Linked DNA regions of Lytechinus pictus. The protein of the gene in region 1 interacts with the protein of each later gene in a pairwise test. Links are inferred from orthologs where the notes say so. Each region holds a gene or a part of one and is shown in the gene's direction. Other genes may lie near its edges.

The links.
Region 2: the proteins of cell cycle checkpoint protein RAD1-like (region 1) and pantothenate kinase 3-like interact in a two-hybrid assay, tested with the Caenorhabditis elegans proteins (2 studies listed by BioGRID). The link is inferred for Lytechinus pictus from reciprocal best matches to the Caenorhabditis elegans genes mrt-2 and pnk-1.
Region 3: the proteins of cell cycle checkpoint protein RAD1-like (region 1) and PAN2-PAN3 deadenylation complex subunit pan3-like interact in a two-hybrid assay, tested with the Caenorhabditis elegans proteins (2 studies listed by BioGRID). The link is inferred for Lytechinus pictus from reciprocal best matches to the Caenorhabditis elegans genes mrt-2 and panl-3.
Region 4: the proteins of cell cycle checkpoint protein RAD1-like (region 1) and proteasome subunit beta type-3-like interact in a two-hybrid assay, tested with the Caenorhabditis elegans proteins (2 studies listed by BioGRID). The link is inferred for Lytechinus pictus from reciprocal best matches to the Caenorhabditis elegans genes mrt-2 and pbs-3.

Annotation. Positions count from the first base shown.
Region 1 is NC_087246.1:3,922,397-3,930,361, reverse strand, and holds the start of cell cycle checkpoint protein RAD1-like, read left to right. Parts: upstream 1-4,950; 5' UTR 4,951-5,057; coding exon 5,058-5,177; intron 5,178-7,965. UniProt on the Caenorhabditis elegans protein: May be a component of the 9-1-1 cell-cycle checkpoint response complex that plays a major role in DNA repair. Promotes DNA double strand break-induced cell cycle arrest and apoptosis, thereby playing a role in genome stability.
Region 2 is NC_087256.1:1,123,006-1,130,952, reverse strand, and holds the start of pantothenate kinase 3-like, read left to right. Parts: upstream 1-4,931; 5' UTR 4,932-5,074; intron 5,075-5,269; exon of another isoform or gene 5,270-7,019; intron 7,020-7,947. Other genes in the region: pyridoxal phosphate homeostasis protein-like, read right to left, coding at 535-669, 1,138-1,249, 1,542-1,649, 2,926-3,021.
Region 3 is NC_087249.1:48,654,953-48,662,033, reverse strand, and holds the start of PAN2-PAN3 deadenylation complex subunit pan3-like, read left to right. Parts: upstream 1-4,060; 5' UTR 4,061-4,144; coding exon 4,145-4,151; intron 4,152-5,981; coding exon 5,982-6,079; intron 6,080-6,532; coding exon 6,533-6,635; intron 6,636-7,081. UniProt on the Caenorhabditis elegans protein: Regulatory subunit of the poly(A)-nuclease (PAN) deadenylation complex, one of two cytoplasmic mRNA deadenylases involved in general and miRNA-mediated mRNA turnover.
Region 4 is NC_087257.1:9,035,326-9,043,098, reverse strand, and holds the start of proteasome subunit beta type-3-like, read left to right. Parts: upstream 1-4,766; 5' UTR 4,767-4,854; coding exon 4,855-4,857; intron 4,858-7,125; coding exon 7,126-7,310; intron 7,311-7,773. UniProt on the Caenorhabditis elegans protein: Non-catalytic component of the proteasome, a multicatalytic proteinase complex which is characterized by its ability to cleave peptides with Arg, Phe, Tyr, Leu, and Glu adjacent to the leaving group at neutral or slightly basic pH.

The DNA of each region.
Region 1 (7,965 bases):
GATCTTCTGAATATACCTAGTTTTGGATAAAGTTTAAGTCATTTTTCTTTGTTCGTGATTTTTCTATTCAATCAACACAAAAGATACCATATCTACACATTGCTACTGCTGCAATGCACAACAGGAAATCAAAACCAAAGAGGTTGGGCAAGAATCAGAAACATAACAAGCAAATCATAAACATGTGGAAACTGATAGGTAGGAAGTTTAGACAATACCTGTACCAGGAAAAATATTATTATAAATACACAGCAGCTACAAATGATTTTTCTTTGTCTACCCTTTACACCATAATATAAAGGGGTACAAATTTTAGCATAGGAAATATGAGGGCGAGGGGGTTTTCGCCCTCATGACAGCCCAAATCAAATGCATGCTTTGGGGCGACTATTCTTTCTAGAGTCGCCTCAATATCTGTTCCAAACAATATTTAAGACTATTTGAAAAATCATTATTCTAAATGGCAGAAGAATAATCATTTGCTTTTACTGCACAATTACTTTTTACCCTTAAAAAAGCCATTCAAATGAAAGAAATAGCCCCCAAAATTCTGCAAATTGCCCCCAATGTGGAAAAAAATGGCCCCTGAAAATAAGATCTATTTCCTACCCTCTCGGGTACAATACACTATTCCTGAAATAAGTTGACTTGTCCTTTCAATGAAAACAGAATATATGCAGTTCCAAATCATTTTACCTCACAACAAATGAGTCATCTCTCAAAACTTTCGGTTCAAAACATTTCTTGATATTAAAGTGTTTCCTTCAGAAAAACAGAATACTAGGAATCCAGTGTGCAAACATTACTTGTTGCTATGATGGGCAATCTTCAGAGTTGACAATGAAAACCTTAGTGTAATAGAATATTAGTAAATAGGTCTATAATGTATTTTATGGATTATGCCATGAATCAAATGTGTTGCTATGTCAATGCTTTAATTACCTCTTGTAAGGCATACTTAATACATACTTTGTTTAGTCACTTTCCTAGAGTGACCAGATGGAACCCTTACGAGGTACACCTTTAGCTATGTTGCTATGGAAACACATTGCTTAGGTACTCTTGTAATTCAGAACTGTACATGTTAATCTCCCCCTTCAATATAAAAGCATTTCTTGTGTATGATCTCTGGGTAAATGTTCATGTTCTGGATCGCTTTGAGAGCTCATATTTGCTCTATTAAAATCCTGAACTAGCTGAATCAGTTTGAAAATTGGTTCTGAACCAGGTCTAGTAGCAACACATACATTTCATCTCACTTCCTGATATTCAATTCTACCCTTATAGTACTAGTAGACCATTGCAAGCTGCTGACCTTTGCATATTTCCTGATAAATATAGCTATTAGCATTGTTATCTTTATTATAACAAATTATTCTGGATATGTTTCAGAATATTGATAAAAATTTGTATCACTATATAAGGACACTAGTGCTTAAACCAGGGTAATTTTATCCATAGTTATGTGGATGGCACATTTTACGATATGACATAACATTTATTTTGTGATTATTAATGTTATGTGTAAGCGTAGTTTATGGCTCACCTTTTTCATGTATGCAAAATGCTGAAGACAGAGGTGATCTGTAGAATGATTTCAAATTCTTGGAGCACAGCTTCAAAAGGAATAATGATAACCATTTATTTCAACATTGTGCCATGTTAATTGTCCTCAAATGAGTTTTGTACGGGTGTTATAGTTTGTGTTGCTACTTTCGAGTATTTTTAATGCAATTTTTATATCATTACTGGAAATGCTGTACCTATCCCGAGTTCCACATCTTGTTCGTTCAGCTGCTAGCAGCTATGATGATAGGCTTTTCATCACTGCACCCTATGTTCATTTATATATGTATGTTTTAGCATTTAACCAATGGATCATCAGTGGTCTAACCTATTGACCAGAGGTCAACGAGACCGAAGACCAGTAAAGCTGATTTTTTTTAACCAATTTCCCTCTGATTCCCGGGGGGGCCACTTCCATTGACGAGTGGATACAATGCGCGACCATGGGGTCTCGAAAAGCACCCTAAACACGTATTTTCCATATTCTGAAAATGCACCCCTTAACGAGTATTGGCGTCTGAAACCCTACCCTTAACAAGCATTGGAAACAAAACGATACTCTTGGCAAGTATTCCCTGAAATGAACCCCTAAAAAAGTACAGCGATATTTTATTATGTCACGGGTCCGTCGGTCATCGGTTTACCTTTACACACCATTTGGTTTAGTACGGCCCCACCTTCCACACCTCGTGCAAATCAGACTCTAAACACGTAATGTTGGGGCACAAAAGACATCCTTTATAAAACATTCAAATATTTTTAGCATCCCCGCAAATTTGACCCTAAACACGTAGCTTTCCTAGCGAAATAGATACCCTTTTTTCATTATTTTTGTGTTTTTGACACCCTTATCACGTTACGTACTTAACGTGCCCTATCATTAAAAAAGACATCCTTTTTACGTGTTTTTTTTGGTCGCGCATGGTATCCACTCGTCAATGTAAGTGGCCCCCCCCCCCCCCCCCCCCCCCCGGGCTCTGATTACTTCCTTTCTCAAGAGTATCAGAGATTATACACCAACCAAAGCTAAACAGCAATTCAATCAAACAAGATATGATACTGTAACGGCATGACACTGGAGCAGACATGAATATGTGCTTACATGTACTTATTGCATTCAGTCTGTTGGAATTCAGTCAAGTGGACATGAATCAAAAGTCTTAGGAATAAAAAAGAAAACACTCAGAAATCGAAAGCTCCAGGCGAGTCAATACATTTCATTCATAATTTATGTGAGGTTCATATTGAGATTGTCTTTGTATATTTTGGGATGTCAGTATAGTATATAAATATGAATATGGTGACTTCTGTTGATTTTGTTTTTTACACTATGTTTTTAATTGTCATGTTCTATGTAATTGTATTGAATACAATAAGTATTCAAAATTTATAGCACTGTTTGTGTGTAAATGTATTTACACAATGGGAATTAGTGGTTTCTGAGCTACTGAATTGCAATTGTTATTTTTAAAATAGTTTATTGAAGGCTTTTACTTTTATTTCAATGTAAAATAATCAATGTGAACATTCCTAATAAAATTTCACTTTCATATAAAATTCCATTTTTTTGTTCATCCTTTATTGGCATTGATGGGTGGGGGTCTTTGGTGTTATCATTTTGTTTTTAGATATTGCCTACATGGAATCTCGTCTAATAACCATTTGGTGTTAATCATTTGGTCTAATTGCCATTTTGTCAAACCATCAAATGGTTTAAAATCAAATTTGTCTTATACCGATGTGGTGTACACATTGATTTTGATCCATTGCCCAGTTTAACCTCATTTGGTCTACCATCATTTAGTCTAATAAGTCCTTGGTTTAATTGTCATTTGGTCTAATATCCCTTAGGTGCCTGTTATATGAAGAGATACAATCAAATTGTAACTCTTAGAATTTAGTACATGGTTTACCATAGATTTATGATTGATGTCAATCATGTTTGAGATTGATTGTGTTTTTCTTTTATATTGCAGGCCCCTGGTCTAATTACCATTTGGTCTAATCATCGTTATGTCGATACTAAACAACAATTTTTTTTGTTTTCTTTTTCTACAGCTACGTACGGACTACCCTCTGACCTCTGCATTGAGGGAAAAAATAGATGTTCATAAACATTAAATAAGATCAGGATAAAGTTTAGGGTCCCATGCCCACCAAGAAAAACTTGTTATAGGAGGTGTTTGAAAATAATTTGGTCACGCATGTGTACAGCAACACATTTGACTGCCCGCCCCCTCCCAGATCTTCCCTCTGAAAATTTGATTTCTTTTATGCGGTAAATGATTATGTTGGGATAATTTTCTTCGCTGTGATGTGAAATTTGATTTGTGCCGAGGTATAGCATGAATGAAATGAATGAATCCAGAATCTGATGTGATAATCGTGCACGAGTTAAGTAAACTTTTTGCAAAATAATAAGATGACATAAGTATAGAGAGAGATGCCAAAAGTGTTTGTTAAAATTAAACAGTGAAAAGGGGGAAAAAGATAATTTCAAACTATTTTTTTCTTATCTCTTATATGATTATAGCTTGACACTTTATATTCATTCATTGCTTTCACTTTGCCACAGATCAAATTTTACCCCACGTCAAAATACTTCCTGACCGTCTATCCAGGTGTAAGCATGTATCACATAAAAACGTTTCAAAATATTTAGGAAGAAATACTCTTTCCTGGCATATATAGGGCCTATGTGTTTACGATAAAGGACTTTTAAAGGTATAAAATTTTATTCTGACTCACTCAGTAGTTCGGTAGTTATAGGGTCTTAAAACCGAGTCTAAAATAGAAGGTTGTTTGAAATAATAGGCAACTTTGGTAAGGCCCATGCCATTCCAGAGAGAAAAAAAGGGGGAAAACAAGCGATTTGGCATGAACGTTCAATATCAACACGTCTACTGTTTATCTGACTGGTTGATGGGGTTGATGGCCCTGTGCTGAAAGAATATGCTTAGGGACAATATGTTTATGGCATATGTTAAGAAATAAAATCAATTTATTGCTTCAATAAAAGTGGAAATAAAACTTACTAAAAGGATTTTTTTTGGGGGGGGGGGGAAGTTAACTGCCTATCCTGAAAATTTGATCATATTACAGGTGTGATTGATATGCGACGTAGAAAATATGTCCAACTCAGTGAAATTGAATCTGCAGACCTATCCTAACCAAAATTAATTCAACGACATTGATGATTTGGTAAGTGTCATGCAGTCATAGGTGTAATTATTTATTCACTTATTTATTTTTGCTTGTTTGCTTTGGCAACTTTATATAAATATAAAAATAGTCTTAGATAAAGTAAAATAATATTTTTTTTGGTATCGGCAGCGGACTCGGAGCTGAGCTCTCTGAATCGGTGAAAAAAAAATCATGCAATATAAGCACAAGAGGGCAGCAGACCCGCGGTAAACTTGATTTTTGCAAAAGATAACAGACTTACAGTATTGATTCGGCCTGCACTTAATACTTCCAGCATATGATTGGCAATGTCCTTAATATCAACCCAACAAAGTGAAGAAGACGGGCAGCATGTGCTATCATTGAGAGTAGATAATGCAAGGAATGTGGCCATGGTTCTGAAAGCTATTCACTTCAAAGATCGAGAGGTAATTACTGTCTAGTGGCCAGAGACTGCCCAGAATCGAATAGGTGGGACTGTAGATTAACTTGGGGGAGGTAGCCTAAGTTGAGGACTCCATATGTCAAAATGTTAAAAAATATCATCATGGACCATGATGATATTTTTTAACATTTTGACATATACTTCTTCATCTTTGAGCCTTGAACCGCCTGTCATATATGTAAAGAGACACTTGTAGTTGTAAACAAAGATGGATTTCCCTAGCCTAGGAAATCCATCTTTTAAGAAGGTCCGGGGGGGGGGGGGGGGGGGGGGCAGTTAAATATATTGTTGAATGATGGTGGGCCCCAAGTCTTTGAGTTAAGATTTAACATGAATTTCTTCTTATTTTACAAAATCTTTCAGTTAATAATGTTCCTTATATTATCAAGAGTAAGTGTACCAAATTTCTCATTAAAAAATGAAAGAAAATATAGGATTTTCTTGAGAAAAACCTTGGTCAGTCATTTTCAGATTGCAAAAAAATATTACCCCATGTCTGCGCACTCATTCACTTTGCACACGATTCGGGGATTTTGATGAGAAAGGCTGCATTTTGAGACCGTCACATAAAATGCCCTAATAAAAAAAAAGGCCTAAATTCATTATTTTTCCACCATTTTGAGTCAGATTTTTTAATGAATACCTGTCTATGTATTGCATGTGTAAAGTTCGTGCTCGTTGCATATCTTCTTTTACTGGAATCGTGCAGATACGCGTGTGCGCAGACAAGGGGGACTGCGCAGACTTGGGGGAACTTGCCATACACACGCGTGACCAAGGAATTTCCAAACACCCCCTAAACGACTTTTTCTCTGTGTGCAAAATAACCCCCTAAACAAGTTGTCGCCAAAATATGACCACGGGGAAAAAGCTTGGGAAAAAAACATACCCTAAACACATTTGGCTAGTCTTAAAAAAAAAAGTTTTGGGGAAAAAACATTTGACCCCGCGATTGACCATTGACCAGTCTTTCAAAACCACCCTTTTTCTTGAAAATCTGTGTTTTTGATACCCTCAAACGAGTGCACGCGCGGCCCTCGTCCAAAACTGAAAAATACACCTTAAACACGTTTTTTTGTTCACGCGTGTGTACAGCAATATATTTGACTGGCCCACAGGTCTGACCCTTGAACCGCTTCGTTATAACGTACCTTCGATTAGCTATGTTACAAAATGCCGTTTTGAAGAACAATTTATAGATTCAATTCAATTTATTTATTAGGTAAAAATCACATGAGTAGATATATACATTGTAAAATGTGAGGATCAAACACCCTAGGAAAGCCAGAGGCTTGAAAAGCAGGGGGATCTATGACAGATAAATACATGTAACAGTGACACAAATACAGCAAATAAATTACAGTAGGAATAAAATTCATAGGAAATAGCAATTGAAATAATACATGAAACAAGTTACAATATTTACAATACATGACAAAACAAAATATATCATATAACTGTTTGTTTAGTTTTGGTTCAATTTAAAGGAATCACTTGTAAGTGGCAAGAAGAGGCTGTTTAATTTTAGCTTTAAATGAGGTAACGGTGGTCATTCTTTTAAGTAGTGGGTCAAGACTATTCCAAAATTGAGCCCCTTTGTGTTTAATAGAGTTCGTCTGTAGTAGTTTTAAGTGTGAATATGGCACAAATATATTCTTTCTCTGTCTTGTATTAACAATGTTTTTATCAACTGTAAGAAAATATTCATTTAATATAGCTGGTAACATGTTATTCATATATCGAAACATAAAGAGTGCTGCCTTTATTTTTATAGTATCAGTCAAATTGGCAGTGTTGAATTTTTTAAATAGAGGTGGAGTATGGGCAAGATAATGCGTGTTAGAACATAGACGAATTGCTTTCTTTTGAAGTACAATCAATCTGCTTAAATGACATGAGCTGGCTCCTCCCCAGACAAGACTGCAATAATCCAAATTGGGCAAGACAATGGCATTATACAAAGAGGGTTTTAAAGGACAAGTCCACCCCAACAAATACTTGATTTGAATTTAAAAAAAATCCAACAAGCATAACACTGAAAATTTCATCAAAATCGGATGTAAAATAAGAAAGTTTTGAAATTTTAAAGTTTTGCTTCATTTCACAAAACAGTTATATGCACATCTCGGTCGGTATGCAAATGAGGGAACTGATGACATCACTCACTATTTCTTTTGTATTTCATTATATGAAATATTTTGATTTTCTCGTCGCTGTCATGTGAATTGAAGTTTCATTTCTCCCTGAACACGTGGAATTCCATTATTTTAACATTTTGTGGTTCAGGGCAAGGAGGTCCTAATTGTCAAATTCGTAAAAATTGAAATATTGTATAATTCAAACAATAAAAAACAAGAAATACATGTAGTGAGTCAGTGACATCATCAACTCTCTCATTTGGATGTAACTGACTCGTTCATATAACTATTTTGTGAAAAATAAGCGAAACTTTGAAATGTCATAACTTTCTTATTTTACATCCGATTTTGATGAAATTTTCAGCATTGTGCTTGTTTGATTTTTGTCTATTGATTCAAATCAACATTTTTCCGAGGTGGACTTGACCTTTAAGTGGAAGCATATTATGTAATTTAGATAACATACCAATGCACATACTAACTTTTCCATGGATGTTATCTATATGGTTAACCCAAGAGAGCTTGTCATCTATCTGTACGCCTAAAAAGTTTATAGTATTTACCCTGTCTATTGCATCATTGTCTAGTTTTATTGAAAAATTTAACTGAGATCGATAACTGTGATTAGTACAG
Region 2 (7,947 bases), on another chromosome or scaffold:
ATGGAAATGAAATAGTCAATTTCAATTATTTCAAATGTTTCATGATAACACATGATACCAATATAGAACTGAACACTGTACAGTTAATAGAGATACAGTGCACAGTATTTCAAATGTACAAAACCAAGCACTACGTAGGTATCTGGTATTATCACATTGGACTTCCTAAATGTAAACGATGAAATAAGCGTGAATATGTACACAAATCTGCATAGTCCATGTTTTTATACTACTATGGTACAATCGAAACCTCTTTTGAGAATACAGGCCAATGAGCCAGAATTAAACAGGTACAACCAAGTTTTTTTAATGACTTAAAGAGTCATAAAAAACATAGGCCTATTTTGCCTTTCATTTCACTTATCATTCATAAGACTGATCTTACAACAACCGAGTTTGGAGTTTTCAGCATGTCCAAATACATACATTTACATAAATATTTCCAGGAATTTCAGTCTATCGCTCTGGAATTACATACCATTCATTTAATAATCATGAAGAAAAGGACAAAATAAACTGTTATAAATTTCCTACTTGCTTCTCCGCTTGTGTTGACTTGCACAAAGACCCTGAGAGTTCCTCTGTCTGTCTCTTTGCTCCAATGTTTCTCAAGCTCTGATGCTAACTTCCTGGAATCAACAGTCTCCACCATGTACAGATTAGGAGAACCTACATAGAAAACAAATAAATAATTGAATTGTGGTTTTAAAAACATTGTACCAAAATATGAAAAAAAAGGAAGAGAAAAAAAAACCTAGCAAGGTAGCATGTTATAACAGTTATTATGTTTCAATCAATTGTATTTAAATTTAAATAGTAAGTTTTTATGCATTGGGATCTTAAAGGAGAATGAACTCTGGGAACAAGTTAACTTGAGTGAAAACAGAAAAATCAATTAAACAATTCAGTGACAGTTTGGGAAAAATTAAACAAATAATAAGCAAGTTATGGGAATTTGGATGTTGAGATCACTAATGATATGGGCATCCTCTCATTGGCAATGTGACTAACATGTGTTATGTTGTATGTTGTATAACTCCCCAATTAATTTTCAATATAATTCAATTTTTCTGTTTTCATACAAACTAACTTGATCCGAAGATTTCATCTTCATTGAATAGAAAATCTCATACTCACTGAGAAGTTTCTTGACCTTATTACTCTGGAGATGACCAATATAATGCCACCTGATATCTGTACACTGTTCTCTGATTGTGGCATCATGAGATTTGTCAACAAGCTCTTGTACCTGAATACAAAGAAAATAAAATAGAATTCATCTACAAAAAGGCTGAAACTGCTTCCTGTTACATCTGTATTGGGGCCATTATTCCTGCCATTATTCCTGCCACTATTTATTCAAAATGACATCTTACATCAACTGAACCAATATTGTTCAAACAAAATAGTAATTCACAAGGGGCTAAATGGCTCTCAATCTTTGTGTTTTCTTTCACTTACTGGTCTTCAACTTTTCCAAAATGACAAGAAAGCAAATTCTAATTAATTATTTGTATTTTTTTAAGGAAGTTAGTCCTTACATAGTTTTCACCAAAGTTGCGCTGTCCCGTCTGATAAGCCTCAAGGATCATAGATACTGGTTTGGTTTTACTCACTGCGACTAGTCTTGGTTCCACACTGGGTATTGTCTGGAAGGAGAAAAGACAAATCATAAAATAAAATGTAGGTGTTTTTTTGTTTTTAGTGAGGGGACAGATATTACAGCCACATTTGACAATCAATGTCTGAGAAATGGGAAATTTAATGATTGTTTGAATTGCTCAGTGTTGGTTTTAGTAAGAAAACATCCAGTGATCAAGAAGTATTGAAGCCATAATATTGATAAGTAAATCACTGCAAATTTTGTGAGAAATGTTGATTTATGGAAATTATTCTACAAGACATACAAGTATGGAGAGCTACATTGTACTCACAAGCGACTTGTTTACCAACCTTTTGCTTACTAAAACAGTTATTCAAACTAAAATTTTTCAAATAAACGGAGCATACTGCACATTCAAAATTCTACCAAATGATTTGAGTAGAAACAAAACATAACACATTACCAGTTTTGATCAGACTTCATCTGATGTTTGTGCATATGCACCATCTTGCAAATATTTTTCATCATAAAGATTCTAGAAGAGACTTGATATGTTATCAGCAATAACAAAAAAAATCTTCTTTTAGACATTTACAAAACCAGATCGAGGCCCCGGTTGCATAAAAGTTACTAAAAATTAGTAGACACTTCCCTGAAATCCTTGATTCTGATTGACCGATGAGCATTGGAAACACATCAGTTACCTTTAGATGGCAAATTTACTATAATTTGATAGTAACTTTTATGCAATGCCAATGGGGCCCTGGTACCGTATTGTCTTTAAAAGTGATTAGATAATAATGAAGAGGGGGGGAAAAATCCTTAGTGGTGCACCAGAAATTGTTCGCAATGTTTTTGAGAACAATTTATGGTGGGACAATTTTAATAAAAAAAAAATTTGTGATAGGATAGATATGGGACTTACATCATATTTCATAATTTTCAGAAATTTATAATAATTAGGCCTATCAAGTATCAGCTCACTCATACTATAGTATCATCATGTTTCTCAATTCATGTGCTAAGTTCTCTCTCTTTCTTTTTTTCTCGTCGTGAAAAATATTTGGGGACAAGAGCCCCCCCCCCCCCCCCCCATCTTTACGCCAGTGCTTATCATGGGTTCCCAAACATGAAGTGAACTGACACATTAATTTAGACTAGTAGAGAATACGGTTTGAGAGCGGCAACCGGCCACGGCCACAGTCGATCGACAGGGCGTCAGTTCCGCGGAGGCGCGGGCGGCCGGTGGCATGGCATAGCACAGAGTACCGGTACCGTGGTACCGTACCGGTCGTGCTGCTAAGTAATGCTGGCAAACATACCGAGGTTCTTTGCATAGAGGCTGCTTGAATCCGTTCACCTACAGATCGCAGTGCCTTGGCCACACTATTTTCAGCAGTCATTATGATCCTTTGCATTCCACAATTTATCTAAAAAATATAAATGTTAAAATATAAATTTCAAAGTGCACTTTTCGTCGAGGATTTCTCTCGAACTACCACCAAAGAATTCTTAACGAGAATTCTGGATTACACAATTCATTCATTACGGCGTCCTTGCTTCGAAAATCAAATTTCAAAGAAAGGGATTTTTGTGGCAACCAATTTTGACAACAAAAAAATAATATTAACAGAAAAAGTGTATATTTACGTTGTTTATAATATCAGAGGCCGCGGAACGGTTTTCAAAGTGGGGGGGGGGGGGGGGGGGGGGGGGGGGCTGAGCCAAAAGTGGGGGGCTGACCATGCAAAAAAATCATAATCCTATGGTAATTTTTACGTTTTTGTACACGGCTTCAGCCCCCCCCCCCCCCAGCCACCCCCGCTTCCGTGGCCCCTGAATTTGACATCTTGAGTTTTATTACTATTTTGCTAAACATACAACAGGAATTCCCCTGGCCTTATTACCCGTTTAAATATTTTTGACGAATTTTATATATGCCATGTATCAAAGCAGGCCAATTGTGATTGATTAAAAATTTCTTGTTCTCAAATGTATCAGGAATAGGCCCTATAGCGAAGAATAAGTCGAAAAGCCAAAGGTAAATTCTATATTATGAAATAATAATTACTAGTTATTTATATACTGCATGCATTTGTACTAAATTTCAAGTGTTTGTCAACTCAGCTTTTTCCAAATTAACTTGTATCAAGGTCATCAAAGCATTTATTTTGTTGCGCATGCAATTGAAATTCTACAAATCTGTACCGATTTGATCTTGATTTTTTAATAATATATAAACTAGTTTTTAGCTTTATCCAAGCTTTCCCTCGGCTGATTTAAACTGATTTGTCTGTTGATTATAGTACTTATAATGTAACATTTTGTCTTCACTGACATGACTGAGGAGGTGTTTTGATATAATCAGAAAAAAATCTTCTTTTGAAGGTTTGAAGAAAAATCTATCCGAGAATACAAAATGTGAATTGATATTGCATGATATCCGTCGCATATATTTGTTAAAGATATTTCATAAATTCGTAATTTGGATGGAATTGCTTCATGAAGTTAGGCCTAACTGAAAATTATGTTTCCTATATAGGAGCGGGTATACGGAATGGGGATTACTGAAAATTATGTTTCCTATATAGGAGCGGGTACGGAATGGAGATTACTGAAAATTATGTTTCCTATATAGGAGTGGGTATGGAATGGAGATTACTGAAAATTATGTTTCCTATAGGAGCGGGTATGGAATGGGGATTACTGAAAATTATTTTTCCTACAGGAGCGGGTATGGAATGGGTATTACTGTGTCGTATGATGATAATGAATGCACACACAAAATCCAACAAAATCATTCTCAATTTTGTTGAGAAAATTGCATTTCTTGAAATTATACAGTTCCGTCCGGGGGTAGGGTCTAGTATACGGTGGCAATTAATAACAAACAATTAACATACGGCATCTTTTTTTTAAGTAAAAAAAAAGGATTTGTTTGGTTTGAAAAATCTCAAAACATTGGGTATGGGCCGTGGAACGATTCAAGGGAGGGGGGGGGGGGGGGTGAGAGGCAAGCTGGTACGTGAACGGGGAATTATAATGCGCCAGGTGGCTGCAAGGTAATGCCCCCGCCATTGGCATTGTATGCTATAACAGTAACAATAATTCGATGGTCATTTCTACCCTTTTGTGTTAAGTTTGTTTACTGAAAAAGTTTTGGGCGGCTCTTAGGTCTCTGAATATGATAAATTACAACACAGTGACGAAAAAAAAATGAGCTCAAACTAAGCATTATTTTTGGTGTGTGTGGGGGGGGGGGCGGGTATCAAGAAAGCTAGCCCCGCCCCTTGTTCGTTGCGTCGATCGACGCGACGTCGACACTTCCGAGTTTGTGACGTCAGAATAATCACTGTAAACGTTTTGTTTGGCTGCTGAGTGATCGTGAGTGAACAAAATCTCCGATTATTGCTTTGGTCGACAGTGAAGGAAAATCTTTGTTTTTAGGAAATTCTACAGAAGTATTTTACGGTCAGTTCTTGTCAATACTGAAATTTTTTTCAGTTTTATTTTTCATTGAATCCCGTCTAAATTCAAACGTAAACATTTGTCTTTCTTGTTGGCGATTGTGTACCGGTATCGCAATAATCACGTGTACGGTTACTCAAGGCGTAGTAGAGCTATGGCTCCGGCCGGTGCATGCATGCACTAGGCCGCTGTGTTCTTGAGCTGTGTGTGTAGCTGCCGCATGGCATGGGTGTCACGCATGAGTCGTCAATCGGCTGATAAATGGTCTGATCGGTGTATGCAATGCAAAGGCAGGCTAGGCAAGGGTGTGTGTGTTTGTTTAAAGCTGCATGCATTGTGAGTAGCTGTAGTGGGCGGTAACGTAGTTTACTACTATCTAACTATGACTGAGAATATTGATAGTGGATTAGAATATTTAAGTTAGAAATAGAATTGGAAATACAAATTTAGGATTTATGTGTGATTCTATGTCTACTTTAAATAATGTTTTAATCAGAGATGCGCATCATGATGTGTGTGGAATGAAGTCCACATTGTTTTTACTTATTTTGATTGAACTTGCCAAATAATGATTAGTCTTGTAATAAATAGTAAAATGTAGATCTATATACGGTACTGTAATAAAATGTATGATAAGGTGCCCCTTGTCTGTTCATACGCGTATCTGCATCAATTTAACATTAGAAGTTGCAAAATGACCACAATCTTTACTACACATATTTGCAATAGATCAACATATAATAATTTTACCTTTACCCGAGATTCTGGAAGAGTGCTGTGGATCCCAGCAGTCAGGCTTCCAGTTCTGTGCCATTTTCATCCGTCTCAATGATTGGTGTGGTGTCTGCTCAGTGTCGTTTTGGCTCAGATCTCTACCTTCTATAAGATGTTTGCTACTCATATGGTGAGCAGAACCGCTGGTCTGCCCACACTTTGTCCAGTCTGATCTTAAAGCTATTCACAGTCTGAGCTGTAACTACTTCTTCAGGGAGTGAGTTCCAGTCATTTATAACCCGCTGGCTGAATGAATCTTGCCTCAGTTTGGTCAAGCATCTGGGTTTAGAAAGCTTCAGACTGTGACCTCTTGTATTGCCTGCTGAAAGTTCAAAGAAGGCATCACTTGGGATGCGTTCAAATCCATGAACAATTTTGTACACTTGGATCATGTCTCCACGACGTCTGCGGTACTGAAGGGATGGGAGGTTAACCTCAGGTTGAGTGCCTTCAGTCTCTCTGTGTATGAGTGATTCCTAATAGCATAGATCATTTTGGTTGCTCTCTTTTGAACTTTCTCTATGGCTTTAGCATCACCCTTGAATCTGGGGTACCATATAGAGTTGCCATAATCCAAGATCGGTCTGACAAGTCCTTTGTAGAGTCTTGGGATTGTAAATTTATCTCTGCATTCAAAACTACGTCGTATACATGAGAGTACGCCGTTGGCCTTTTTCACAGTACTTGCAACATGGTTATGAAATTTAAGTTCATCGTCAATCAGTATGCCAAGATCTCTTTCTTCTGAAGTGTGCTCAAGTAAATCGGATCCAAGAAAATATGTGCGCTTAGCATTTCCTGGGCCGATATGTAATACTTTGCACTTTTCTGAGTTGAAGTGCAACTGCCAAGTATTACTCCATTCTGTTAGGGTATCGAGGTCATTCTGTATTACACAGAGATCATCGTTGGTAGAGGCTTTACCATAGAGCTTAGTGTCATCAGCATACATCCTGACTTTCCCTTGAAGGCATTCTGGCAGATCATTTATGGAGATAACAAACATTGTCGGGCCGAGAACACTACCTTGGGGCACGCCGCTTCTAACCCTAGTCCAGTCAGATAACTCCTCATTGACTTTTACTCTCTGGTGTCTTCCTTGTAGAAAGTCTTTTATCCAAGACTTAAGTTCACCACCTATACCGTAAGCATCCAGTTTGGAGAGTAGGCGAAGGTGAGGAACACTGTCAAAGGCTTTCTTAAAATCCAAATAGATCACATCAATAGGAGCTCCTACATCTAACATTTTAGTCCATTCCTCCATTACTGTTAGGAGCTGTGTCACACATGAGCGGCCAGGAACGAATCCATGCTGTTCATCACATAGAAGGTCATTTTTTAGTAGATGAACAACTATCTCATCTCAAATGAGTGATTCCAATATAATATAGATCTAATCATTAAAAATCTGACTCAAAATGGTTGAAAAATAATATATTTAAGGCATTTTCATTTGACGCAAATTGACGGCCTCAAAATGCTTTCTCATCGAAATCCCTGAATCGTGTGTAAAGACTAAATAAAATGAATGGGCACGCAGACATGGGGCACCATTTTTTGTCCAATATGAAAATGACTTGCCAAGGTTTTTTCTGAGAAAATCATGTATCTCTCTGAACTTTTCATGAGATTTTTGGCACACTTATTAGATTTAATTGAAATTTTTTTTGTGGAATGAAAATAAATTCATGTTTAATCTTAAAGGGAAATGAAACCTTTTAAACAAGTAGGCTTGTGTTGAAACAGAAAAATAAAAAAATAAGAACAAAGAAAGTTTGAGAAAAATCGGACAAATAATGAGAAAGTTATGAGCATTTGAACATTACAATCACTAATGCTATGGATATCCTCCCATTGGCAATGCGACAAGGATGTTTGATGTCACATGTGAACAATTTTCCCTTTGATCGACTATAAAATATGCGTAAAAAGTATATATATTTTTTTATGGTTATACAAACTCTTCATCCATGATGTATTCTTTAAAAATCTGTATAACATGCTCTCCTATAGACAGAACACATTATCTACTGATAGATGTGATAAAAGAGGCAGTTTAAGTGAAATATATACTAAAGTAATGGGAAGAGTTGTTCACAAAT
Region 3 (7,081 bases), on another chromosome or scaffold:
GCATGAAGAAATGAATAATCAATTCAGAGCCAAGAATTTTTTATAAATAATATTTCAATATAATATATTATTGTCATTTCTTCTATAATATTTATTTATATGGGCCTACAATAGAGCACTAGAGCAATTTGACTAGTTGACCCCTCCTTAAAAAAAATGATAAAAATCACAAACTTTATTTTTATTGTTAATTGTCTTCAATATCCAATATCATAATTATCGTACATTTCATTAACATTTAATCAATTTCACTTCAGTTTGTATTATAAAATTAGTGTGAAAACAACTGCTATGGGAAGGGGTTAGCTCGCTTCACAAATCCCCCCCACACACACAAATGCACCATAGGCTATAGGCCTACGAAAAGGTTTTCATGACTCCACTATTGGGATAAATAATACTTTCAACAAAAAATCTGATGTGATGACGATTCAACAAAATTATGCAAGTCTGAAATATATAGAAATTAATTTGTGAATTCAAATCTTACTTTTTTAATAGGTAAATACAAGGGCGGCATCACATTGGATACGAATAGGGGACGGCGCGCCGCGGCGGCTCCTAAGATGTTACATGAAACAAAATATTTATTTAAAAAAAGAGGGGGGAGAAAAGGATTACTGAAATAAATGAAAAACATAAAAACAGGGTCGCATCCCCGCATCTTTGAAAGAGTAATAAATGAAGTCATTTTTAAAGATCACTTCAAACTACCCTGCATCATGGCGACACTCCTATTATTATCTTCTTGATATATTTATAGAAAGTGTATAGGCCTGTATCAGGGGCGGATCCAGCCTTCGCCAATAGGGGGGCCCGGAACTTTTTTTCAGCCATATTTTCCCCGATCGGGCCCTCGAAAATGATTTTTGGTTTCTTTGAAGGGGTATTCCAAATAGTCACTTCTTAGTTTTATTCTTATGTATAGACATAGATATATAATATCATAATCCTTATTTATAAAATGCGAGCGCGAGCTAAAAAAAAATTGGGAAAGCTTATGTATTTTTTCCTAAAATTTTGAACATTCTGGGCAATGATTGTTATCCTGACAAAGATGTATATGCAAATGAATAATTACTAAGAACGTGAAGCGCGAGCAGAAATGAACCGATGGAAAGAGTACTATTAAAGACTGCAATTGCATTTAGCCATGGAGACGTAACATATTTTTAAAATCAAATAATGCGAGCGCGAAGCGTGAGCTGAAATTTTTACATAAGGAATAGAAATTCTAAGCACTTTTTGTAACTTAAACAGAATAGGTATATAACTAAACAATTGATGCAAGCGCGAAACGCGAGCGGAAAATTTCGAGATTTAGACCTACTGAACGAGACACTCTATTCAAGTTTTGTAAATCATGAAAAGGATGAGTAAGTGGGGATCTTCCTTACATTAATAATGCGAGTGCAGAGCGCGAGCAAAAAAATTTAAATACGTTTTGAACTGATCGAAAAGGTACCTGTTAACATGGTTAAGGACTGCTTGCACTTATATAGCCATGAAGACGTTACATATAAAAACAATCAAATAATGCGAGCGCGAAGCGCGAGCTGGAAATTTTTGACATTTCTACATAAAGAATGTAAGATCAGTTAATCAATTTTTGTAATTGTGAACGGGATAGGTATATAACTAAGCAATTGATGCGGAAAAATCGAGATTCAGACCTAAAAACGGGACACTATTCATGTTTTGTAAATCATGAAAAGAATGAGTAAAAGAGGACCTTCCTACATTAATAATGCGAGCACAAAACGCGATCAGAAAATTTCTGATGTTGTGATTTGACACTGGATAATGATTTAAATAGAGAACAAGTTTAGTATTTGAATAAACATGCGCACGTGTTTCATATTTAGACCTAGAATCTAGGCATTCTAAATACATATTTTGTCATGAAAATCAAAGCGAGCAGGAAGCGCGAGCTTAAACTATATATTTGATATTCCGATATAAGAAAAAGAGTCGATTTCAGCTCTATATTTCAAGCACTTTATAGGAAAATTGTGAGGTGGATATGGCTCGCACATTATTATTACTTTGAATAACATAGGACCGGGACTTCCTCAGGACTTGTATATGAAAATGACGACTATCTTTCTATTCCTCTTGCTTAGCGTGAGATGAAACAAAAGGGACAATTTAATTAATATCTTATTCATTAATGCCTAATGAGGGTGCAAAATCTGATTATATTATGGCCTGAAAACTGGACATATGAATAAATTTGTAAATCACACAAAATAATGAAAGTTCGATTTCCGAGGTGAAATATGTTTTGTATATTGACTTTCACACTTGACTTTTAAACTCCATATTGAACAAGATATGAAAATCACCTAACAGACAATGCAAGCGCGAAGCGCGAGCGAAAATTTTATATAGTGACATGAAAGATTCTTTTTATTTTCCAAGTCTTCCCCACATCTTATTTTATTCACTCGTCTTCCTCCTCTTCTTTTTTCTTAACTCTTTTCCTTCCTTTTTTCCCTTTTCCCCTTTTTTCGTTCTTTCTCTTTTTTCCTTTTTTTTGCTCCGCCAATAGGGGTGGGGGGGGGGGGGCGGGCCCCTCGGGCCCCCCTGGATCCGCCTATGATGTATTGAGATCCTGAGAATTTTAAAACATTTGAAAAGTCAGAAAGATGCTCGGTATAGGCCTACATTATCCGCGTTCTGTTTGGAGGTCAAATATTTTAAGTTTTCTTCAAGATGGAAAAATTACTCGTAAGTGACATTGTTAGATTAATTAAGCCGAGGCAGTAAAAAGAATATTCACCCTAACCCTATGGTAAAATTCACCATTTGAGGATTTAGTACAGGCACTGGCGGACCGGGGGGGGGGGGGGCAAAGCCGGACCGTGCCCCCCCCCCTTGAGAGGCACAATTAAAATTTGTATAGTAAAAATGCCGTTAAAACAGAAGTGTGCCCTTTTTTTTTGTCTGTCAAATCTTTCCTCGGGAAAAATGTGCCCCCCCCCCTTTGGGAAATCTTGGATCCGCCCCTGAGCACAGGTAAACTTTTGAGGGGGCAACACGGAAGCGCCAGCAAAGTATTGGGGACAAAACGACCTCATTGTGACGTCATTTTGTCTCATATATTGAATGACATGAAATATCTATAATTTATCATTAATTTATTCTTAATTGTGTTTTTTTAAGTTTATGCCATTTTCTCCCTCGATCCATTCATTTTTTCCTAATTTCCTTTTTTTCAGTATTTGAAAAAAAAATATGTTGGTCGCCAATATCCGCCCGTAGCCTTTCTCTCTCTGATCCAACAGAAACACAAGACATGATAAAATTGAGGGAAAAATCCCGCCCGTCACCATTTAGCAGAACATTAGTGCCCCTCCCACCCCCCCTTTCTCGTTTACGTACCCCATCTACGGTAGACTAAATTCATTATTATTTTTTACGAGATCGTCAATGCATTTTTATGTGTAATAATTGAACTACATGTATGAATGGACGCTCCTCCTCCGTAATACATCTACACATATGGAAAATTTCAGGTTAAATTCATCGCTTTCGGGAAATGCCATGTTGACTTCACCGCCATTCAGGACTACATAGTACCAAGATAAGTGGGGAAATGTTGTGATTTTGTAAATCCAAGGAAGATAGCATCAAGAATTTAGGCGGTGGAAAAGTGTCGCATCTCACCGGCTTCGATTCGAGTGGCGTCAACCCCCATCCCCATCAGTGCATAAGTCATTAGTGTTGGAGCGAATGTAAACAGCATTGACTTGAGCGAGCTGACCTGAGCAAGTGCAACTGGCTGTGTCTGTGGTGCCTGAGCTGAGCTGTGCCTGTGCACTTGTGTTGCAGTTGGTGAGAGTACAGACTACAGTTCCAAGCCAAGGACAGGATTTACAGAACTGGATCTCTTCAGCAGGGCTTGACTGACCTCAAAATCACAGTATTTCTGAAAATGAAAATGAGAATTGACAGACATGATGTGCATTTTTTAATTTGAGCATCTTTTGAAGTTCTGTTAATGTGAATGTCTGTGCCAAGATCGCAGAGCACAGCCATTGATTCACCTCTATCGACTTCATTCTAAACTAGGCTAACTCAAAAACTCATCTTTTAAACACAAATCTCAGTCACACTGACACAGTCACAGTAAAAACTCGAGATGGATCGTAAGTGTAAAGTCTGGCACTTCTTTAGTTTTTAGCGATGCATGCCTTGCTCTTTGACTTTGCTAATAAAGTACATGTAGGAGAAAAATTTGGGCCAAATTGTGTGGTTGATTTGTACGCACGCACTTGGATCTAAAGGGGATGGAGGTAGAAATGGAACCATGTGCATGACTGAATACAGCACTGCTGTACAAAATGATGCACCGTGGTTCCCAATTTCTTGATAGTGCCAATAAATTATTTACCCAAATTGTGACTCTTGCAAAATTTATCAATTTTATTTCATATTTTTAATGAAAATGTTGCAACATGTATGAGCTTGGAATGTCTTGAAAGGATTCAAAATAATCCTTTATTTTGTAACATTCTAATAATGTACCATATAATGTACTAATGTACCATATATGAATGCTTTCAGATAAATTGATAATGATACGGGCCCTACATGTAAAATATCTATATTATTGTTTAGAAATAGAATATCTGGACTTGCCATTTATTCATCTGCATCATGCCAGTGATTCTCACTAACCAAATTTGTAAGCAAATCCGAAAAGGATTTCGGGGGCTTATCAGTTTTCAGTGCAAGTCACTATTTGCTCCATGAAATGCTTTCAAGCTAATGATGATTATCATCAGAATTTGATCGTTTCAAGAGTATCATAACTATTCTGTTAATGAAGTTTTGTCACTTTGTTATTATTTTTTATATATATGTAATTGATCGTCACCTATTGATTTCCTTAGCAATTTTCTTATTCAGATATCCATTGAATATGTTTATCAATTATCAAAAAATTATATGGGGGGCTTGCCGGCTCGTGGTAAATTTGCCCTTGAAATACCAAGCAGTGTACACTGTACAGAGTCTGGAAGAGTAATAAAAAGAGTCACAGAAATTTCCATAGGGTCCAATGTAAATTGTCAGACAATGTAGGGAAATTGGGCTGGTGAGTTCAAAAGTAGCCCTGGAAGAAAAGAAATAAGTATTTTTCCCAGTGTCAGTAAATATAGATGAAATATTATGAATATTAAAGAGAAAATTTTCAATAGTGGGTGGTAATGCAATCAGCTGGCCATTGGAATTTGTGCTACAGGAATACAGCTTAAAGTTATAAACAAAGTTGTGTTCAATATCATGTAAATGTATCCCTGGCAAGTCAAGTTCTTCAATATTTTCTTTTTATTGTGAATTTTGACCTTTACAGCCTTCATATTTTCATTTGTTTCTAGTGGCAGACTCTCACATGGCACCAGATCAATTTGTCACTGCTTACATGTAGAACTTTATAAAGAGCAATGCCTTACACTGTACATAAACTACATGTATTGCCCATCCCTTACAATTGCCAAGATTACTTTTTGTCCAAACAATGTCAGTATTCCTGTTGAGGGAACATCTATGTAGGAAATACATGTATCTGTACACGAAACAAAATTTACACTCCTCACAGCCCCTTTGCCTCTAAAATTTCACAATTGAATGCTTCGGGGCAATCTTCCAGATTTGCCCCCAAATCTGCCACAAACAATATTCAAGAATATATTGAAAATAATACTCCGTATACCGGCAAAATGAGTATGAATGAAGATACATGTATTTGTGTTAATACTGCTGTGCATTTTATAATTTCTTGAGAAAATAACTAGCCGGCAGGCCTAGCACCCCCCCCCCCCCCACGAAAAAAAAAAAAAATCAAGCAATTACCCGGATCTGAAAATCAAATTGAAATTAGAAAATTTGTTCCTAATTGTGACTGTTGATAGAGATGAGTGATAATATTTAACCTTTGCAGCTTTATATTTTCATTTATTTTTTTGTTTTTTTAGTGGCAGACCCTCATATGGCACCAGATCATTTCTTCACTGCTCCGTTTGACAGTGACAACTATGGTCCACAAACCAGCAAACTCCAGCATCTTATGCAGGTACTGTAATAATGATCAGTCCACAGACAGTTAAAAGGATTCTTATTGATACTAATTTATGAAAATGTTTATTGCTTGTTTGTTTGTGGCGGTTTCTTTAGTTATTTTGAAAATAAAATAGATTGCATGAAAATATCAAATGAATTTACATCACTTTGATTAATCGATGTGATGTTTAGCTATAGCTTAAATGCGGACCTTTCTTATTGCTTTACAGAAGCTTTCATGAGAAAATGAATGGTAAACTTTCATGTTCAAAAGTTATTACATGCATTTGTCACACTTGTAATTTCTAACTGGTGCTGCCTTTGGAAGGCATACATGTATGTAATAGAAGAATTGAATTGAAAAATGGGAAGCAATAATCATAGAGATATTCAGCCCCTAAAGTCATTTTTTTATGTTCTCTTCATAAATATACTTGACATTGTTCGAATTTTTATTGTTTTAAAGCGATCGCATTCAGTGGGATCGAGCCTGTCAACATATACGGGATCACCGGCATCGTCAGCACCAAGCGGGCAAAAGAGAGACGAAACGCCCATTTTCCAACCAGGTTGGTTGCCCTTATTTATTTTCCATGTTGATTCCTTATACTGTACCCTATTCTCACCGGCAAAGTTTTCCTGAACCCCATACTATAGGTAAGGCTAAATTACATTTTAGCCCCACCTAAAGTCTGGAGTTCAGCTTAGCTTACTGGTTTAAGGATAGTATGAGGTTGATGATAGTCCGGGTTTAAGAAAATGGTGTGAGAAAAGGTATACCGTATTTAACAGTACTCGGACTGTACACTGTATGCATCACAAAGCGTAGTGTGTGATTTTAGGGCTGATTTTTGTGCTTGGTTATTAATATTATGCGCAATCAATTGTGCAAATCACAATGATTTATCAATAAGCTTGTGCAATAGGGTCTGTAGAATACACTGGGGAAAAGTCTTGTATCGCATCTCATCTACATGTATGCACGCTTAGTTCAGATAGGGGCAGAGTCAAACCG
Region 4 (7,773 bases), on another chromosome or scaffold:
ACACAGACAAAATCATCATGTTCTTTATTGACCCTTCATGACTACTTCTGCTCGTTTTGCTGCTTTTCAATTCAGACCTCATCCAAAACTTTTGAATCCTGCTCTTTTCGTGATGGCATGATTATAACAGGCATTGTATAATTTTAAAGAAAATTAAATGATCTTTTAAATGATATCAAATATGCATTGTGTTAAATTGGGAGTTGGGAGAAATTAATGGCCAAACTCAGATTTCCAAACTTTTTTTGAGGGGTTTATATTATATTCAAAGACAAAATAAACATTGATGGCACTTTTTTGTTTAAAGTTTTCAATTTCTTAAGTGAAAAAAATGAAGAAAAAAAAATCATTGATGAGGGGAAGTTATATACAGTATATCTAGAAGTGATTAGATAGTAACCTCGGGTCCTTCAACGAGTGTGTCCCCCCCCCCCCCTTGCAAACATACCTTTGCTAAACACTTTCATTTTCTTTTTCTTCTAGGTTTACTTAGTGCAATTTTTAAATATATTTCATTGCTCGCAATCTTCGGATAGTTTTTATAAGTTATGAATAATTATAGTCCCTTGCAGTGAATTCTAATTATGTTTTCCCAAGAAATTTGTTTTTAAATGCTTTATAAACGTAATTTCTATATTCAATTTTTACACAAAATTGGGATGGGGTCATCAGGCCAGGGGTCGGGCGAATCAAGGGCCGTGCCCCTCCCATATTGTCGGCTCATAAAAGGAAGGAAAGTATTTTGTCTTGTTGTTTCTTCTACTCCTACTGTAACTACCAACTTAATTACAGTATTACAAATACTTATCGGAGGCTTCAAACTGATATACTTTTGAACCAGGCAATTTAATCTATAATAAGCTTTATCCACCTCCATGTCTGGATCACTGATGGTCTGGATCCCATTGTTTTGCACTCTAATGTAACTCGCCACAGATGGCGCTATTCCATTACAGAGAGGAGAAAAAGAAATAGATAGATAAAACAAAATTATACGGGAAAAAAGAAGAAATTTCATGAAGTAAGGCGAAGAGAATAATTTGAAAGAAAAAAATTTTGTTCGCTATTCAATTAAGTTTTTGTTATTCTACATCAGGGAAATTACGGGCCCTGTTCATGATTACCCCCCCAAAAAAAAAATCAGCTCGCGCTACGCGCTCAGATTATTTGATTGGTGAGATATGTACCCTTTTTCATGAATCACTGCAAATAGTCCTTGTTGAGTCCTTTTCAGGATGTCAATATATTGAAGAAAAAAAAACAGTTTGCGATTCGCGCTATTATGTACAAGCACAGACTATACGCATCTTGTTCATGATTAGGCAGAAAAAAGGCTGCTCAGAATATTTAATTTTCAGCTGTGAATAGATGAAATAATGAACTAGTGAAAAAATAGCTCACGCTTCGTACGCTCTCATTATTTATTCAAAGGACAAGTCCACCCCAACAAAAAGTTGATTTCAATAAAAAGCGAAAAAACAAACAAGCATAACATTGAAAATTTCATTAAATCGGATGTAAAATAATATGGCATTTTAAAGTTTTGCTAAGTTTCACGAAACAATTATATTCACATCCTGGTCGGTATGCAAATGAGGAGACCGATTGCATTCATCCACTCACTATTTCTTTTGTATTTCATTACAGCATGGAATATGAAAAATCTAATTATCTCCTCATTGTCATCAGTGGCGTAGCTAGGATATTTTTCCTGGGGGGGGGGGGGCACAATTTTTTCCGGTGTGTGTGTATGTGTCACAAGGGCGGATCCGACTTTCGCCAATAGGGGACGGTGCCCGAAATTATCTTCACCTATATTTTCCCCGATCAGTCACTTCTCAGTTTTATTCTTATAAAACAACATAAACATGAAATAATCTCATAAGCCTTATAAAAAAGTGCGAGCGCGAAGCGCGAGCGATTTTTTTTACTTTTATGTATTTTGTCCTGAAAATTTGATATTCTGGGCAATGATATGTGTGATCCTGAACAAGATATGTATGTAAGATGGTTACTGCGAACGCCAAGCGTGAGCAGAAATTTTTATTAACTGTTCTAGCATTATCGAAAAGGGACCTGTCAAGGAAGACGGTATATATTTCAATAATGCAAGCGCAAAGCGCGAGCAAATTTTTTTGACATTCCGACTTTTAAAAAATGGTCATTCTAAGCATTTTTTGTATTAATAAATGGGATAGGTATGTAACTAAACAATTGATGCGAGCGCGAATTATTGATATTCTGATGTGAAACTGGATAATTTAACTACATTTTAAATAAAGAACATGCAGGCTATCGCGCATGTTTTAGATTTAGACCTAGAATCTGGGCATTCTGAATACATTTGTTTAATGGAACATTATGGAATACACGTAGCCGGGACACGTAGACAATATGAACTTGGCAAATCAAACAATGTGACCACGCAGCGTGAGCTTAATGCTGATATGTAGACCATAAAACGGACATTTTACAGAGCACTTAAATTTGTAAATGAAAAAAAATAATGAAAGCTCGATGTCCTAGCTAAAATATGTTTTGTATATTGACTTCAAAGCTTGCTCCATATCAGCCTATTGAGCAAGATATGAATCTCATCGAACAGGCAATTCTGGCGCGAAGTGCAAGCAAAAATTGTTTTTTTTTTGCAAGTCTTCCCCTCACATTATTTCATTCACTCGTCTTCCTCTTATTTTTTTTTCTTCTTCTTTTCCTTTTTTCTTTTCTTCTTTCTCCCTTTTTTTGCTCTGCCATTTTTTTCAGGGGGGGGGGCACCTGGGGGGGGGGGGGCACACCAAAATAAATCTCAGGGGGGCACGTGCCCCCCAGGCCCCCCCCCGTAGCTACGCCACTGATTGTCATGTGAATCGAAGTTTTATTCCTTTCTGAACACAGTACTGTACAAGCTGTAATTTTCGCGGGGGTTTTATTTTCGCGGATTTCGCGAATTGCCGATCGGCCGCGAATTTAACAACACGCGAAAATATTGACACACTTGTTAGTCAGTGCCAATGTCCCCAACAGCAAAGCTTTGCTATTGAAAACATACTGTGTAGTGAGAAAATGGAGATATGCACCTCTATATGTACAAAAAATAAGGCTTAGAAAGTACAGTTAGTGATTCAAAAAGTTAGCTAGAATTTCACTTTTTTTAATTTCTAGTATGTGATTATCAATGTTTCAACATTTTGTGGTTCAGACAAAAGGGTCATTATTGTCAAATCTGTAAAAAGAAATGAATATTTCACAATTCAAGCAATAAAAAATAAAATAAAATAAATAGATAGTGAGTGAAGGATATCATCAACGCTTTTATTTGCATAGAGCCAATATCCATGAGTTTTGTGAGTAATAAGCGTGACTTTAAAATGCCATCATGATATATTTCTTATTTCACATCGGATTTGGATGAAATTTTCAGGGTTAATTGTTATGCTTCTTTTATTTGTCTCTTTTTATTCAAATCAACATTTTTTTGGGGTGGACTTGACCCTTTGAGATCTTGGCGAATAATAAGGCTAAGATGAATGAAACGTCATTCTCTGGTTAGTACAGCCCTCTAAACGCGGTAAAAAAAATTAAAATAAACTTTTTAGGCGTCAAATGGGGGAAATGTTGATAATAATATTTTTACCCCCTCACCAACACTAGCGTCATTTTAGTGAGCAAACAGTTTTAAGGGGCCAGACATGCCGTATAGGGCCAAATTAATTTGGAAAAATATGCGAGAGAGCAAATTTTTTTATATTTTTATTACCAAAAGAAAATTTTGTGATAGATTTTGACATGATATTCAGATAATAATTTTAGATTTTCCTTCTCTTTCATTTTTTTTTCTTGGTCGTGATAAATTGGGGGCCCCCATATCTACCCTCTCATATAATTACTTCTTCTAAACCGTTACCCGTCATTATCATTAGTCTGTAATAGGCCTACTATACCTTTTCTCACTATGTCAAATAAAAAAGTTGGTTGATAATCATATGGGTGTTAGCAAACGAAATTGGTGTAACCTTAATGGGAATTAGACGAATAATGGGCGTATAATGAAATTACGCTGCGTCGGATGGGGGGGGGGGGGGGGGGGGGGGGTGATGGCAGGATCATAATAGCTATCTTTTACCATATAAAATTGCCATTATAATTGCAGGTACCCACCTTCGAGAAATGGCCCTAGAAATCGCTTGTCAAGGACCTTTATCAAGAAGTTTATGAAAAAAACAAATCGAATGCTTATTGGGAGGAAAAACAGGTTTAAAGTCAGTCAGAGGTATGGGATGGGGACTTTTGAACACTCACCCACCATTAGGAATCGTCGCAATTATTTTTACCCATTTTCTTAAAGGTCAAGACAGTCTAACTTCCATCAACGCTTGTGACTTGAGATCCCGGCTTTGAGATATATATATATTTTTTAAGGCTATTTAAAAAAAAAAAAGTTTAAAATGTCATCGGGCTAATTTTCGTATCTTACAAGATGAGAAAGCCTACTATATAGGCCTACGAGCAATGAGAGGAAAACTGAGATTAAGGAAGAAGAAAAAAGGTGAACATGGATAAATAAGAAGAATAGAAAAGGAAGAGGCAAAGAAGAAGAAGACGAAGAAGAAGAAGAAGAAGGAGGAGGAGGAGGAGGAGAAGAAGACGAAGAAGAAGACGAAGAAGAAGAAGAAGAAGGAGGAGGAGGAGAAGAAGAAGAAGAAGAAGAAGAAAGAGATAGAAATAGAATATTTCATGAGTGAGCCCTCTTTGTCGAAACAGAGAAAGTCTACAAACGATCGTGAATTGACACATTTTAGGAATTGGAAAAAATCTGTCTTGTTTGTGGCCGGGGATACAAACAATCTAGGCATAATGGTAAGAAATGTGATTGATTTTAAAGTCAAGTATTTGCTTTTAAATGCCTTTGATTTGAGAATGTAAGACATGTATTTATTGTATAAGAAAGAAGAGCGAACGAAGTTTGACTTTAGTTTTAGTTGACCTGCGAGAGCATGACCGTGTCTCGGGGTGGCGTCGGGGAGTCTCTACCGCGATGAATTCGAGCGAGTCTCTCTCGAAGTCCGCTGCGGCGGAGCACAAGTCAGATGAAGATTCTGCCTCGGGCGAAGTAGCCTGGAGGCGTCTGGGGAGTAAAAGTCATCTACTCTACGTAGGCTTACTCCCCACTGACGCCTGGGACGCCAAGGTATAATCACGCACGTACGGCCACAAAACCTGAAACTATCGCCCCTGAGATTTCTACTTTCCCTCTAAAACTAAAAGATCTAGCCCTAGACCTAGTATAACCCAGAGAGCTCCAGCCCGCGTAGCGTAGCGGGCTGGAGCCCAGACGCTCAGTGTGCAAACGGGCATTCAGGTGAGAGTACCGTGAAGTTTGGTCAAAATAATTTTGATAATACATAATTAAAACAGAAATTAAGCACTTACCACGATTGTATGGATGATAGTCTAACGAGTGGCAGTTTCCTGACATCGAGGCACAGACTGGAACCTCAAAAAACGATCAGTTCTGTCGCGGTAGCTCTCCTCTTTCAGAATTCAACACAAAATGGCCGATCGAGACCGAGGCTAGTATAGCACTAGCGCATATAGACTTTGTCAAATTCGCGCATGCGCCCTACACCCTCTCGAACGGCCATTTTGCTATGAATTTTGAAAGAAGGAGAGCCACCGCGACAGAACTGATCGTTTTTTGAGGTTCCAGTCTGTGCCTCGATGTCAGGAAACTGCCACTCGTTAGACTATCATCCATACAATCGTGGTAAGTGCTTAATTTCTGTTTTAATTATGTATTATCAAAATTATTTTGACCAAACTTCACGGTACTCTCACCTGAATGCCCGTTTGCACACTGAGCGTCTGGGCTCCAGCCCGCTACGCGGGCTGGAGCTCTCTGGGTTAGCCCTAGTAGTAGTATTATAAAACATGTAGGCCTACCGGTACATGGGTTCACTTCAACTTCATTTCCAACATTTCTGCGATATCAATTTCGTTTTTAAAGAAGAATTAGGCCTAATAAAAAAAACGAGAAAAATGTTATGAAAAGATGGGAAGAGCTCACGGCCGTGTTTACGTCGCCATCTTGATTTCTTTGTCTTCCGCTTGGCGACAGCACGCAAATCGCGTTAATGTTATTCATTGTTAAAATTATATTAAAAAAATATAACGAGAAAGTAAAATAGCTTAATTTCTTACTCTTCACCCGTATTTCACTCCGTGTCCATCCTCCGGTTATCCTCAAAATTGGTGATTTTGGGCCAGTATCTTTTTCCTCACACGTATATAGCGATAAACCTTATTGACTTCAACGAGTGCACACACACACTGACACGCGAGAAGAGAGGTGACTAATTGCATGATACTAAGGCCATAAAACCGGTAATCAAATGGGTAAATTGGTCTAAAAACCATCTAAAAATATTGCCACAAAGTCATTACCATGGATCATGTTTAGCATGACAAATTATGGACTGTACTCGGGTGCTGGACCATCAAATTAAATGAAAAAAAAATGATAAAATTAAAAAAGCAACAACAAACAAGCAAGCCCCAAAAATGTGTCATCCACTTAAGAAGATAACTAATGTTAATTTAGACCATGGTTAATGTTATCAGAAGTTGTCTTTGGTCCTTTTCTATTTATTTTTTTTATTGTTTTTTTTACGTTAGAGAGAGTGAAATGCTCTTTTTTGCATGTGTGTGATGGGAACCCGGCCGTTTTTATGCATGATCCACTTAAAATCGAAGATTGAGGAATTTGAGGGTCATCTAGTCTTTTCTAGATTGTTTCATTTGCCAAAATTATCAAGTTTTTTTTTTATTTGTAAAGAAATCGGGGAGAATAATAAGAAAGATGAAGGGACTCAAAGTCAGTCTGCACTTATTTTTTCAGAATTGAAAGAAGAAATAAAAGTCTGGGTTTTAATTATGGTCGGCCTGGTACAGCAAACAGTTTTTTGTTTTTTTCCTTCACAAGGATTGTTTTAGAAAATGAGCAAACAATGTGTGCATGCACCTTTTAGCCAGCCAAAGCCATTTGAAAATAGTTTTCCAGGTTTTTGTTTTGAACGTTTATTTCTTGCCACACTTACACATTTTCTTATACATTTTCTTATATTTCAGTCTATTATGTCATATAACGGCTCGGCCGTTGTGGCCATGATAGGGAAAGACTGCGTTGGGATCGCGTCAGATCGACGGTTTGGAGTACAAGCTCAGACCGTCTCGATGAACGCACAGAAAATCTTTGAGATGGGACCAAGGCTTTATTTGGGAATCTCTGGGCTAGCAACTGATATAACTACAGTGTAAGTATGGAAATGGCAAGACCTCTGTATCATTCATACATAAAACACACGTTAACATTTTTATGCTAATTCTAAAAAAGGCATTCATTGACAGAAACTCTTAATTTGGAGATGGCAAGAGCCAAGAATATCATAAAAGATGACACTTTTAAAGTGGAATGGATGTACATGTAAGCTAGTAACAAAGTGATTAAAATCTGAACGAAGATAAAACATAAGCTGTTCATTATCAAGTTCATTACAGGCTATGTTTTACTATCTTGGATGTGCCTTTGTCTTATTTTTTCAATTATTCCCATTTGTACTGGTAGAAAAGGTATAGAAAAATGGCCCTGTCCTGTAGATTATTGGAACCTACAATTTGTTTATTACCCATGGGTATGTCGGACAAGCCTGCCTTGGGCAAAATGCTACAGTTATCGCAAGAAACTTGTGATCAATTTGCAAGTTGTAAAATTGCAAC